Linked DNA regions of Caenorhabditis elegans. The protein of the gene in region 2 interacts with the protein of the main gene of each other region in a pairwise test. Each region holds a gene or a part of one and is shown on either strand. Other genes may lie near its edges.

The links. Proteins that work in one complex are often made in the same cells at the same time.
Region 1: the proteins of Y48G9A.7 (region 2) and R166.2 interact in a two-hybrid assay, tested with the Caenorhabditis elegans proteins (one large-scale study listed by BioGRID).

Annotation. Positions count from the first base shown.
Region 1 is NC_003280.10:10,533,393-10,539,975, forward strand, and holds R166.2 (Cleft lip and palate transmembrane protein 1 homolog), read right to left. Parts: upstream 4,280-6,583; 5' UTR 4,279-4,279; coding exon 4,156-4,278; intron 4,104-4,155; coding exon 3,969-4,103; intron 3,916-3,968; coding exon 3,820-3,915; intron 3,773-3,819; coding exon 3,635-3,772; intron 2,870-3,634; coding exon 2,741-2,869; intron 2,687-2,740; coding exon 1,646-2,686; intron 1,342-1,645; coding exon 1,147-1,341; 3' UTR 940-1,146; downstream 1-939. Other genes in the region: NAB transcription cofactor mab-10, read left to right, coding at 46-114; R166.3 (AMMECR1 domain-containing protein), read right to left, coding at 4,534-4,581, 5,102-5,371, 5,417-5,516, 5,568-5,642, 5,831-5,940; Pre-rRNA-processing protein pro-1, read right to left, coding at 6,157-6,583.
Region 2 is NC_003281.10:2,108,359-2,113,571, reverse strand, and holds Y48G9A.7 (Late embryogenesis abundant protein D-29-like), read right to left. Parts: upstream 3,024-5,213; 5' UTR 3,017-3,023; coding exon 2,938-3,016; intron 1,771-2,937; coding exon 1,612-1,770; intron 1,255-1,611; coding exon 1,172-1,254; 3' UTR 1,104-1,171; downstream 1-1,103. Other genes in the region: Y48G9A.11 (C2H2-type domain-containing protein), read left to right, coding at 360-484, 1,019-1,078.

The sequences.
Region 1 (6,583 bases), on a different chromosome or scaffold from region 2:
TTTGCATTTGAACAATAACATTTTTTGATTATCGATTTTTTTCAGCCACCAATTCCACCGGAAGCATGGGCGGCGATAATCGAAAAAATGAAGGGTGAGCTCCCGGAATCTTGAAGCTCGGATTTCCATATTTTTTGTTTTCCTCGTGATCTTTGCAACACCTCCCGCTGGTCGGTTTCCTGTGATTCTCATTAGTTTTCGAAAATTCTCTCATTCTAAACACGCTCTATTGTACCCCACAAGGCGGGAATTTGAATTTAAATTTAAATTCCCGCCCCCTTCGCTCGGAGTCATATAATTTCCTTCTCTTCCTATCACTTTTTTGTCTAGTTTTCAAAAAACCCCCCATTTTTCCGGCGGTTTTTCAAAAACCAATGCCAAGCTCTCATATAATGGGAGTCTAAACACAGTTCGGTTCCAAAACCAACGCCCACGGCCCCGCCCCCAATTAGATAATTTAAATATAATTTTTTTTTCCATTTTCCAATTTTTTAAAAATATTTAATATGTTTGTCTTGCTCTATTGAGAAAGAAATTTGAATTCAAAACTGAAAAACTTCAATTTCGCATCCAATGCATTGCAAGTTGATTGCTTTTATAAATTTTTGGGTCTCGAAGCGAAAAGCCCATAGGATTTTCACAAAAATTTTGCATTTAATGCAGTGAAAATTCAAAAAATTCAAAGATTTTTCTGAATAGATCAAATTTTCAAATTTTCCGGTCATTCGAAATGGCCTAATTTGCTCCAAAAATTTGAATAATCCCGTCATTTTTTCTTTGAATAGTAAAAAAAAGATTTTCTAAAAATTGCCTAAATGTTTGCCACACTTTCAGTCCATTTTATTCACAGATTTTTACAACTCTACTAGTCTCCTCCACCCATCACCACTTTCTCCCCAAAAATGTTTACATGGTTCTTATGCACTTGAATTGTAACTATTTTTTCTAATAAAGAAAAGTTTATAACAAATAAATTAAAGAATTCAAAGAGAACAGGAAATATATAATTGAGAAGTTCAGGGGATTTAAATCTCACTAACGACTGGAAACAAAAAGTAGATGGGGAGATGGACGACAAGTAAATCGGAAGACATGATTCCCGTAACAATAGTTTTGCTTTAATATATTAAAAAAATCAAGTAAATTCTACTTTGTCTTTTTATCTTCTTTTGCATGCTCTGAATTTGGTTCTGATTCATGCTCGGGCTCCTGGGAAGGTTCAGAAGATCCTTCTACGGCCGGCGTCGGCGCCGGTGCTCCAGTTTCCTTCTCGAGGCTTGTGCCGAACTCGTTCAGTCGAGTTGGATCAATGCGATACGCCCAGCGTTGGTAGAGGTAGATCTGGAAATTTTAATATTATTTTTTAATTAAAGTTATTTTGGTATTATGGGGACGCAGAAAAATGAGATTTTTGAAATCGATGTGCACGCGCGCTCCACAGCAATAGATTAGTTGGTAATTTGGCAGCAAATCCGTGAATTCAAACGTTTTCAATTAGTTTCACCGATTTTCAAGAATTTTTCGTTCTTTTTGGCGAAATTGTGGTTTTGAAATAAAATTCCAAACGAGACCCAATACTTTGGGGAGGAGCGTTTTTAAAAGTGCAATTTTCTGCGTCCTCATAATCTATTCGACATTTTCTCACCAGGAAAATGATATCATCTCTGAAGCAACCAATTCTGTAGAGCAACGGCATCCGGATCACAAACGCGAACAAATCATCAATAAACGTATTGATGAATTTGTAAGTGAGCATACGCCACGGCAGATGAGCCACTGATTTGAGCTTGTAGTTAATGAACAGCTGAGGTGTCATGGTAATGAATCCGAACGTGAGCAAGAATCCATAGAGCATATTGAGTACCCAGGAGTACCATCCTTTTTGCTCAACGTAGATTACAGAATAGATGGCATATCCGACAAGAAGTGGGAAAAGTGCCCATCCGAGGTATTTGAATGCCATTTGATCGTAGATCTTCGTCTCACTCTCTACATATGATCCTTTATCACTGATAACCAAACGTGGAATCACTCCGAACCATTTGTTCTGCCAGTCGATGGATACATTCATCACCTTCGGAATCTTCCAGCATTCAATGAGCAAACCAATTCCAACTGTAACTTTCACCATTGTATTTGTCTCATTATCACAAATATAAAGGAAAACAATCAGTGATTGGAAGATGTTGAAAAGCACAGATCGAACTGATAATCCGACGAGATCTTTTCGATTATTCCAAAATTGAATGTCATTCTTGAAAGCCAAAAACTCGAATACGGTATGTAGAAGTGAAACAATCATAGTAACTGCCAAAAGGATTGGATTAGTCTCTAGAAGTGCTTGTTTCATAGAATCATGGCCATCATCATCCATATCTGCACCATCCATAGATAACATTGATTGCCATTGAGACTGCATCCGCTGACTTGCGTACATTTGATATTTGAACACTGACATTGGATAGTAGGTAATTGTCAAGTTAAGATCTTTGACAGTTTCATTGATCGGTTGATAATCTGCTCCGAGATTCCACCAATTGTTATAGAATAAAATAGGCTTGTAGATGGTTCCGTCTTCATTAAATTCAATATCTTCACTAAGTGGTGGTGGAATTTGGCCACGAGCCCATGGAGTTTGATCAACGACTAAAGAGATTGAGATGTTTGGATGCCAGTGATTGAGAACCTGCAAAAATTGACAATAATTCCAAAATTTTCGATATTTGTTTAGATTTTTCACCTCATATTTCATAATCTGAGCTTTGGCAAGATCCTCATCACTCTGCTCACTCTCACCAGTCAACAAGTTTGAAGTTTTTCGATAATACTTCTTCTTGTACTTGTTCAGCTGATATGATTTATAGATGATCTGAAATATATATTTTTGAAATTTATTTTAATCTTGAACTAATCTTCTTTTTCTTCTTGATAATGTTGGTTTTTAAATTTTTCACAAAAAAAATTGTGTTTTTAGATTTTCCAAAGAATCGAAAATTGGTTTTTTTTTTCGAATTTTCGATATTCTAAAAAAAATTTAAAAATTTCAATAATTTCCGGTAATTTCTCTACTTTCCAAACATTTTTTTCCAAAAAATTCCCAAAACAAACAGAGACTGTTTGAGTTAAAAATTCCAAATTTTCAATAATTTCTATGTTTAAAAAAAATTATTTTTTCACATAAAATTCAACATATTTTTGAAAAATCTATAGAATCCTCGTGTCGGGTTTTCAAAACAATCGGAAAATCCAAAAATTTCAATGTTTTTTTTGTATTTTTTCGAATTTTCGTTTTTTGAGAAAAAAAACAATTTTTTCAAAAATTTCCGGCTAGTTTTTCTTTTTTTTTAACTGAAAGTCTACCTACATATTTTCCACAAAAAAAGTTTACAGTTTTTTTTATGTTTAATTTTTTTTAATATTTAATGATTTTTTCGGTTTCCAGTTTTTGGAAACGAATTCAAAAATTAATTGTTATATTTTTTACATAAAAATTAGCATATTTTTGATAAATCTATACAATTCTCGTACAATTTTTTTAATTAATCTAAATAATTTTTTTTTTCCAAATTTTCCAGTTTTATGTTGAATTTTTAAATTTTAGATTTAAAAAAATGAAAAATTTTAGTTTTTTTACCTGATTCTTGAAATAATTCCGATCCTTGGGATTCGGTGATTGGCCAGCTTTAACGATGAACGTGTGAAGCCAGAGGGAATCATTACGGAGCAATGCAGCAGGAGTTGGGAAGTTTTTGTGAATTGTGTGACTGCCGTCCTAGAAAATACGAAGTTAAATTAATTAAATCTAGAGAATTATCAAACTTCATTATCACCACTAATCCAATCATCATACTTCATTCCATTTCGCATCCAAATCAACTTTTCTGGTGCTGAATCGAATTGTCTGAATGGGAGATCCTGAAATTGTTGGAAATTCCGATATTTTCAACTTTTTCTCCAAGTCAACTAACACTATCATCCATGTAAACGTATAAATCAAAAATCTGATGATTTGGGAACATATTCATCGCTTTATTTCCATTTCCAGCAGTAGATGCTGTCACATTTCCATCATTTCCAGGCGACGACGATGGCCGGAAGAATCCCTTCAATTTTTTTGAATTCATTTTTCAAATTAAGATGTCCAGATCAACTTACAGAAACCATGGAAACTACGAAATAAATGGTGATTGCTTGCTTGATCATTCCCCAAATTCCGCCACCTTGCTGTGGTTCCGGAGCTGCTTCGGGAGCAGCTGCTGGTGCAACTGCGTCGGCCATTCTGTGAAGATTATGAGAGTGGTTAGAAAGTGGAAAAGTTGCAAAAGCAAAAAGTGGTGAAAATAAATTGAAAAGATAGTGGTTAGTGCGGTTAGAAACACTTAAATATTTTTTCCAAACGGATTTCAAAAAAATAGAAATTTATTAGATTATTTTAGATATTTTTACAGAATTTTCAGTTATTATACAGTTATTTCAATCATAATACAGAATATTTTACAGGAATTTGAAAGAAAAATACATAGAAAGAGATCATTAACGTGGTAGTGGCAGTCCGTGCGATTGTTTGTAGTTTACATAATCCTGAAAATTAGAGAAATTGTATATAAAAAATATTTTGAATTATTTCGGACAATTTGTGCATTTAATTTTTGATAGAAAACACGAATAATCATGAGAAAAATCGAAAAATTGCATAAAATCCAGAAAAAATTAATTTACTCATTATCCGAGAGGAGTACATGGCCGATAATTATTTCTCGGCCGTGTACTCCTCTCGGGCAATTAATGAATTAATTTTTTTGGATTTTAGGCAATTTTTCGTGTTTTCTCATGATTTTGCTTGATTTTTCGAATTTTTTTGTTTTCGAACAAATATAACATTGCGTTTTACATTAAATAGCAGACCAATAACGCTTTAAAACCGTCATAACTTCTGTTATTTTGATGAAAACTATCGAAAATACGAAAATATGTTTAAATTTTTTAATTTCTAATAGAAAAACACAAATACTATCATGAGGAAATGCAAAATCGCTTAAAATCCAGAACAATTAATTAATTAATTGACCGAGAGGAGTACACGCCGGATAATTATATTCACCTTATAATCCAGAACAAGTTTGGAGCTTTGGAAGCGAACAATTCGAAGTGCTGACCGAAGAGCATCATTAATATGTCCTCCGTATCCACTTTTTCTTATTAAATGATCAATTGTCTCCACATGATTCCATCCTTGTTCTTGAGCTACTTCCGGCAAGAAAACGGCACTCCGATTGCGATGACCATCGTCGAAATTCATTCGAACTCCATGACGACCGATTGTCCAGTCACGAAAATTATGAATTGGCTCGAAGTTTATTAGAAGAGAAACCTACAAACTTTCATTTAAATGCAATTTAAAAGTGAAAATACTCACTCCGCACTGCAAACTTGGAACTTCTTCCCGGCTAATTGGCTTGAATCGTGAATCATGGAAAGCGCTGGTCTTCGCATATTCGTTTAACCCCTCACCCAATCTGTAATAAATTGGATTGTTGAATAATGTTTTAAATAGTGAAAAACTCTACCTTAAATCAGAGAAAGTTCCAATGCATCCGCGTAAATCGTGTTGATGTCCCTTCTTCCATGTGACAAATAGTGGTCTGGAAAAAACGAATTTTTATTTGAGAATTGATTAAACTTCGATTTTTGATTCGTACTATTTAGAGGTGGTCGGTCGGCAATTATTTTCTGCAGTTCTCATTTGTTTTATCAGAAATTAATGTTAAAATATAGAAATTAACTTGATTCATTAACGAAATAACGGGGATTTTTCTGAAATCTTGCTTACAATTTTACATTAGGGATCTCTTTTGGCACGGGAGGTTCCTTCTCTCGATTCAATTGGGCGTTGATGACGTCAAAGCAGTAAACTGCCATTTGGATGTTAGCGGACGTCATCTGGAAGTATATTTGAAAATTTTTAAATATAAATTAAATTTATAAAAATATTTTTCAGGAATTCAACGGACCAATTGACCGATTATTGATATTTGAAAATAGGTTAATTTTGAAGTTTCTTTAATCAATATTAAAACAAAAACAACAGAAAAAGATCAACAGCAACACCAATAACAATGTAACAAATAGGGAAAAGCAAGAATAAAATTAAAAAATCTATTTTTCGCTATCAACAATCTCCTTGGCAACAAATTCGTACATTTGTTTATTGATTTCCTTGAGCTTCTCATTTTCAGCTTTCAAAGCATCAAATTTCTTCTGAAGCGAGGAATTGACTTCTTCTTCGTCATCAATAACAATCGGTTCTACTTGTTTCTTCTCAATAACTGCTGCTTCAAAATCATTTTTCTTTTGATTCTTCCTATTCTTTTTATTCTTTTTTCCACTTTTTCTTCTCTGATTTCCAACTTCTGGTGCATCATCTTCATCATCTCCAAGAGTAATGATATTTTTAATTGTATTTTCTGCTGCTTTTTCTGCTTTTGCAGCTTCATTTCTAGCAGGTCCTTCGGCGTCCCATTGTAATTGTGCAGATGATTTGCTTCCAGATTCCAACAAAAGTTGATCAATAGTTTCTTCAATG
Region 2 (5,213 bases):
TGAATTTTTGAATTTCCCGGCAAAAAATATTCAAAAATTTGAATTTTGAAATTTCCCGCCAAAAATATTCAGAAATTTGAATTTTTAAATTTCCCGCCAAAAAATATTTGAAAATTTAAATTTTTGAATTTCCCGCCAAAAAATATTCAAAAAATTTGAATTTTTGAATTTCCCGCCAAAAAATATTCAAAAATTTGAATTTTGAAATTTCCCGCCAAAAAATATTCAAAAATTTGAATTTTGAAATTTCCCGCCAAAAAATATTCAAAAAATTTAAATTTTTGAATTTCCCGCCAAAAAATATTTGAAAATTTGAATTTTTGAATTTCCCGCCAAAAAAAAAATCAATATTTTTCCAGAAAATTCAAATTCCACCGATCGTCGCTTCTACATTCGTCCGTATGAAATTCGCAATATTTCCGCAAAAATTCAAAAAGCTCGAGAACGTCACGGAGAGCAATTGGAGAAATTTGCTGTTGAGGAGGTGTGAAAAATCGATATTTTCACTGAAAAATCGATAATTTAGGCTGAAATCGCGTCGAGACCCTAAAAATTTGATATTTTCAGCAAAATCCTTTAAAAAAATCAATAATTTCCGAAAAATCGATAATTTCCAAAAATCTGTAATTTATGAAAATATTGATATTTCTAAAAGTAGCAATTTTCCAAAAATCGATAATTCCTAAAAAAAAATCGAAAATCCCCAAAAAATCGATAATTTCCGAATAATTCGATAATTTCTAAAACAAGTCGATAATTTTCAAAAAATCGATTTTTTTTTTGAAAAATCGATATTTTCCGAAGGAATTATCGTCATTTTAAAAAAATCGATAATTCCTTCAAAAAATCGATAATTTGGTGTCGAAATCCTGTCGAGACCTTAGAAATTATATTTTTGTGGTAAAAATTCGGAAAACACGATATTTCTAAGAAAAATCGAAAAATTTCTAAAAAATCGATAATTTTCGAAAAATCGATATTTTCCTAAAAATCAATAATTCAACATTTTTTTTTTCAGATGGATCTTGAAACACTGACCGATGTGCCGCCATTCGTCGCCAGCGAGGAAATTGTCTAAATTTATTGATTTTTAAAAAATTTTGTTTCAAATTCAATTTTTATTGATTTTTTCCTCGAATAAATTATTTTTTTTTACAATTCCAATCAATATTTATCCAGATCCCATAAGTTTTTCGTCCAAATCACTTGCTCCATTCTTGACAGCTGCTCCGGCGTTTTCAACGGTATCAATAACTGAAAAATTGAAAATTTTTGAATTTCCGGGGTCTGCAAGTGCGCTCCAATGAGAAATATTTTGGAAATTGCCGAATTTTCGGTTTTTTCAAGTAATTTTTGTCTTCAAATATGAAACATTTATAGAACTACAGCTAAGAAATGCAAATGCGCTCTATCGCAAAAAATGAGTGTTGCAATTGCGCTCTAACGATGAAAATTCTTTAAATCACTGGTAACTCAGCTAGTTTTTGAGCATTTTCAATAATTTTTGTCTTAAAAATTGGACGACTGCAACAGCTGGGTTGCAAATGCGCCCCGTTGGACTGCAAACGCGCTCTAACGACAAAAACCTCTGATTTCAGAGCTAAAACTCACCAGATTTACCCACATCTCCGGCAGTGTCCCAAGCAGATTTTCCGGCATTTTCTACAGTGTCACGACGTCGACGGGATCCCGTTTGTGAGTGTAATTCGATTGGGCCGCCCGTAATATTCCCGAAAAGTTGGATGGTCTTGTTTTCCATAAGAGATGGAGCTGAAAATTTGAATGTTCGCAAAAATTCTACAAAAAATTTGAATTTCCCGCCGAAAACCAGCTGTTTTAAAGCAATTTATCAATGGGGCGCATTTGCTGCAACATATATACGAAAAACATTCATATATTTCCGTCAAAAATCATGAAAAAACTGCGAAAACTCGAGATTTTAAGAATTTTGTCAATAGAGCGCAGTTGCTGCAGTGTTGCTTTGCCAGTGGAGCGTATTTGCCACGTAAATTCAAATTTTCGAATATTTTTTGCCGGGAAATTCAAATTTTCAAATATTTTCTGGTTTTGGGGGGAAATTCAAAAATTCAAATTTTCAAATACTTTTTCGGCGGGAAATTTAAATTTTCGAATATTTTTTGGCGGGAAATGCAAAAATTCAAAATTTTTAATATTTTTTGGCGGGAAATTCAAATTTTCAAATATTTTTTGGCGGGAAATTCAAATTTTCAAATATTTTTTGGCGGGAAATTTAAAAATTCAAATTATTTTGGCGGGAAATTCAAATTTTCAAATATTTTTTTGCGGGAAATTCAGATTTTCAAATATTTTTTTGCGGGAAATTCAAATTTTCAAATATTTTTTGGCGGGAAATTCAAATTTTCTAATATTTTTTGGCGGGAAATTTAAATTTTCGAATATTTTTTGGCGGGAAATGCAAAAATTCAAAATTTTTAATATTTTTTGGCGGGAAATTTAAATTTTCAAATACTTTTTGGCGGGAAATTCAAAAATTAAAATTTTCAAATGCTTTTTGGCTGCAAATCCAAATTTTCAAATATTATTTGGCGGGAAATTCAAATTTTTAAATATTTTTTGGCGGGAAATTCAAATTTTCAAATATTTTTTTGCGGGAAATTCGAAAATTCATATTTTTAAATATTTTTTTGGCGGGAAATTCAAGTTTTCAAATATTTTTTGGCGGGAAATGCAAAAATTCAAATTTTTAAATATTTTTTGGCGGGAAATTCAAGTTTTCAAATATTTTTTGGCGGGAAATGCAAAAATTCAAATTTTTAAATATTTTTTGGCGGGAAATGCAAAAATTCAAATTTTTAAATATTTTTTGGCGGGAAATTCAAATTTTCAAATATTTTTTGGCGGGAAATTCAAATTTCCAATTATTTTTTTGGGGGAAATTCAGATTTCTCAACTTACGCTCCATCGGATCCAAACTTTGCCCGAAAATTCCATAAATTAAAGTTAAAAATAGTGAAAATGTTATAAAAAGTCTCATTTTCCAACAGAAAAGTGTCAATTTTTCAATGTTTTCCGCATTTTTTTTATAGTCGAGCCTAATCCGAATGTTTTGTGTGAAAATCGTGTTTTTCAATGGGTTTTGATCAGATTTGGCGGGGATCTGTGTAGTAACCAAAATATGGTTATTGATGTATTAATAATTTGTCATTTTAGTGCAAAAAAAGACTTTTTTTTCAAAAATTTAAAAATCCAAAAAAAAAAAGAAAATTCAACAAATTTTTTATTTTTTTATTACAGGAAAATTCCAAAAATCAGAATAAAAAAAGCAGTCGAAACTAGAAACACTGAAGATGACGCCAAATTGCACAATGCATCACGACAGCAGCACCATTTCACACCACGTCTCTGATAACACCTGAGAAAAATTGTAAATTTGTGGATTTTTAGTTATTTTTTGAAGAAAACTATTGAAAAATTCAAATTCTACGCCAAATTCTAGCCTTAAAATCATGTTCTCAGGCATCGGGCGCGAAATTTGAGTTTTTCAAAATTTCGCAGGGGTTACTGTAGCCCCGAAAGTACGCAAACACCGATAACCATCAAATTGGCTAAAATTAAATTTATATGGTAAAAAACTACGGAGAACACGAATTTCATAACGAGAAGCCTTGAAAATATTCTAAAAAAAAGTTCCTGCTTTGGCGGGTTACTGTAGCTTCAAAAGTACGCAAACGCCGATGTTCACCAAATTGGCTCAAAATTAATTTCTAGAGGTGAAAAACTACGGAGAACACGAATTTCATGACGAAAAAGCACAAAAACCTACCCTGGCTCCGATTCGGTACAATAATCAAAAACATTAGTGCAGCCACGTGTCTCATTGTCAAACTTGATGCACCATAACTCAATTGCAGCACAGTTTTGGGTCTGAAATTCGGGGTTATGGCCTGAAAATCCGAAAAAATCTGAAAAACTCACCTCCAAATTAGTATCGAAGCATTTTTTCGGAAAAGCCATTGAAAATTGCGAAAAGCAGAGCAAAATTAGCAGGAGAAATTGGAATTTTTTCATGAAATTGCTTTTTCGTTGTTGTTGTAAAATTACTTTTTATCTGTGATTTTTCCAGCTAAAATCATCTTTTGAAAACTCGGAAATTCTTGGTTTTTCCACGTAAGAGGTCAAAAATTCGGTTATTTTTAGATTAGTTTATGCAATAATCATTATACGTAGATAAGGTTAATTGCCACTGTGAGCAGCGGTAGTAAAAAAAATTTTATTCGAAAAATACATGCTATTACCTGAATATAAACAAAAAACTAAATGAAAAAAAATTGAAAAAAAAATTTATAAAATTTTTTTTTGAAAATTTTTCCAAATTTTTTTTTCGCGTCGAGACCCATTTCTGGAAATTTTCATTTTCAAATTTGAACTCAGCTCACCGAGACCTTTCAAATAACCCCCAACATGCCTTTATTCCGCCGACTTTAATAATTTTGGGTCCCACCACGAAAGGGTTACTGTAGTTCTCGTGGCGGGACCCATATAGTGTTAAAAATGGCGGAAAGTAGCCGATATTGCGGTCATATTGAAGCTCGCGATGAGCTGAGTAAGAAAATTGCACTAAAAATTGAAAATTCTGTTGAAATTTCGGAAAAATTGGGAATTTTCAGAAATCTGAATTTTTATTTTTTTAAATCGTCAAATTCTCAAATTTTTTTTGTAAATTTTTAAAAATCGGCATCAAATTTGCATTTGCCTTGCCGGGAGCTTTCAAATAACCTATATTCCGCCGACTTCCAGGATTTTGGGATCCCACCACGAAAGCCCACGGGGTATTGTAGTTTTCGCGGCGGGACCCAAAAAGTGTTAAAAATGGCGGAAAGTAGCCGATATTGGGGTCAAATTGAAGCTCTCAGTGAGCTAAAGAAGAAAATTGCCATAAAAGCTAAAAATCAGTTAAATTTTCAAAAAAACTGAGAAATTTCAAAATTTTTTGGATTTTCTTTTTCAATTTTTTGTAAATATTTTGAAATCTTGAGGCTGGAAACGTAATAAATATTTTTTGGCGGGAAATTCAAATTTCAAATTTTCAAATACTTTTTGACCGGAAAATCAAAATTTAGATCTTTTGGCTTTTATCGTACGCAGTTTGGTCTTGATGTTCGGATTTTTTCGCTTTTTTTTGCAATTTTATAGTTTTCCCGTATATTCCTTTGGCTGCTTTTATTAAGGGA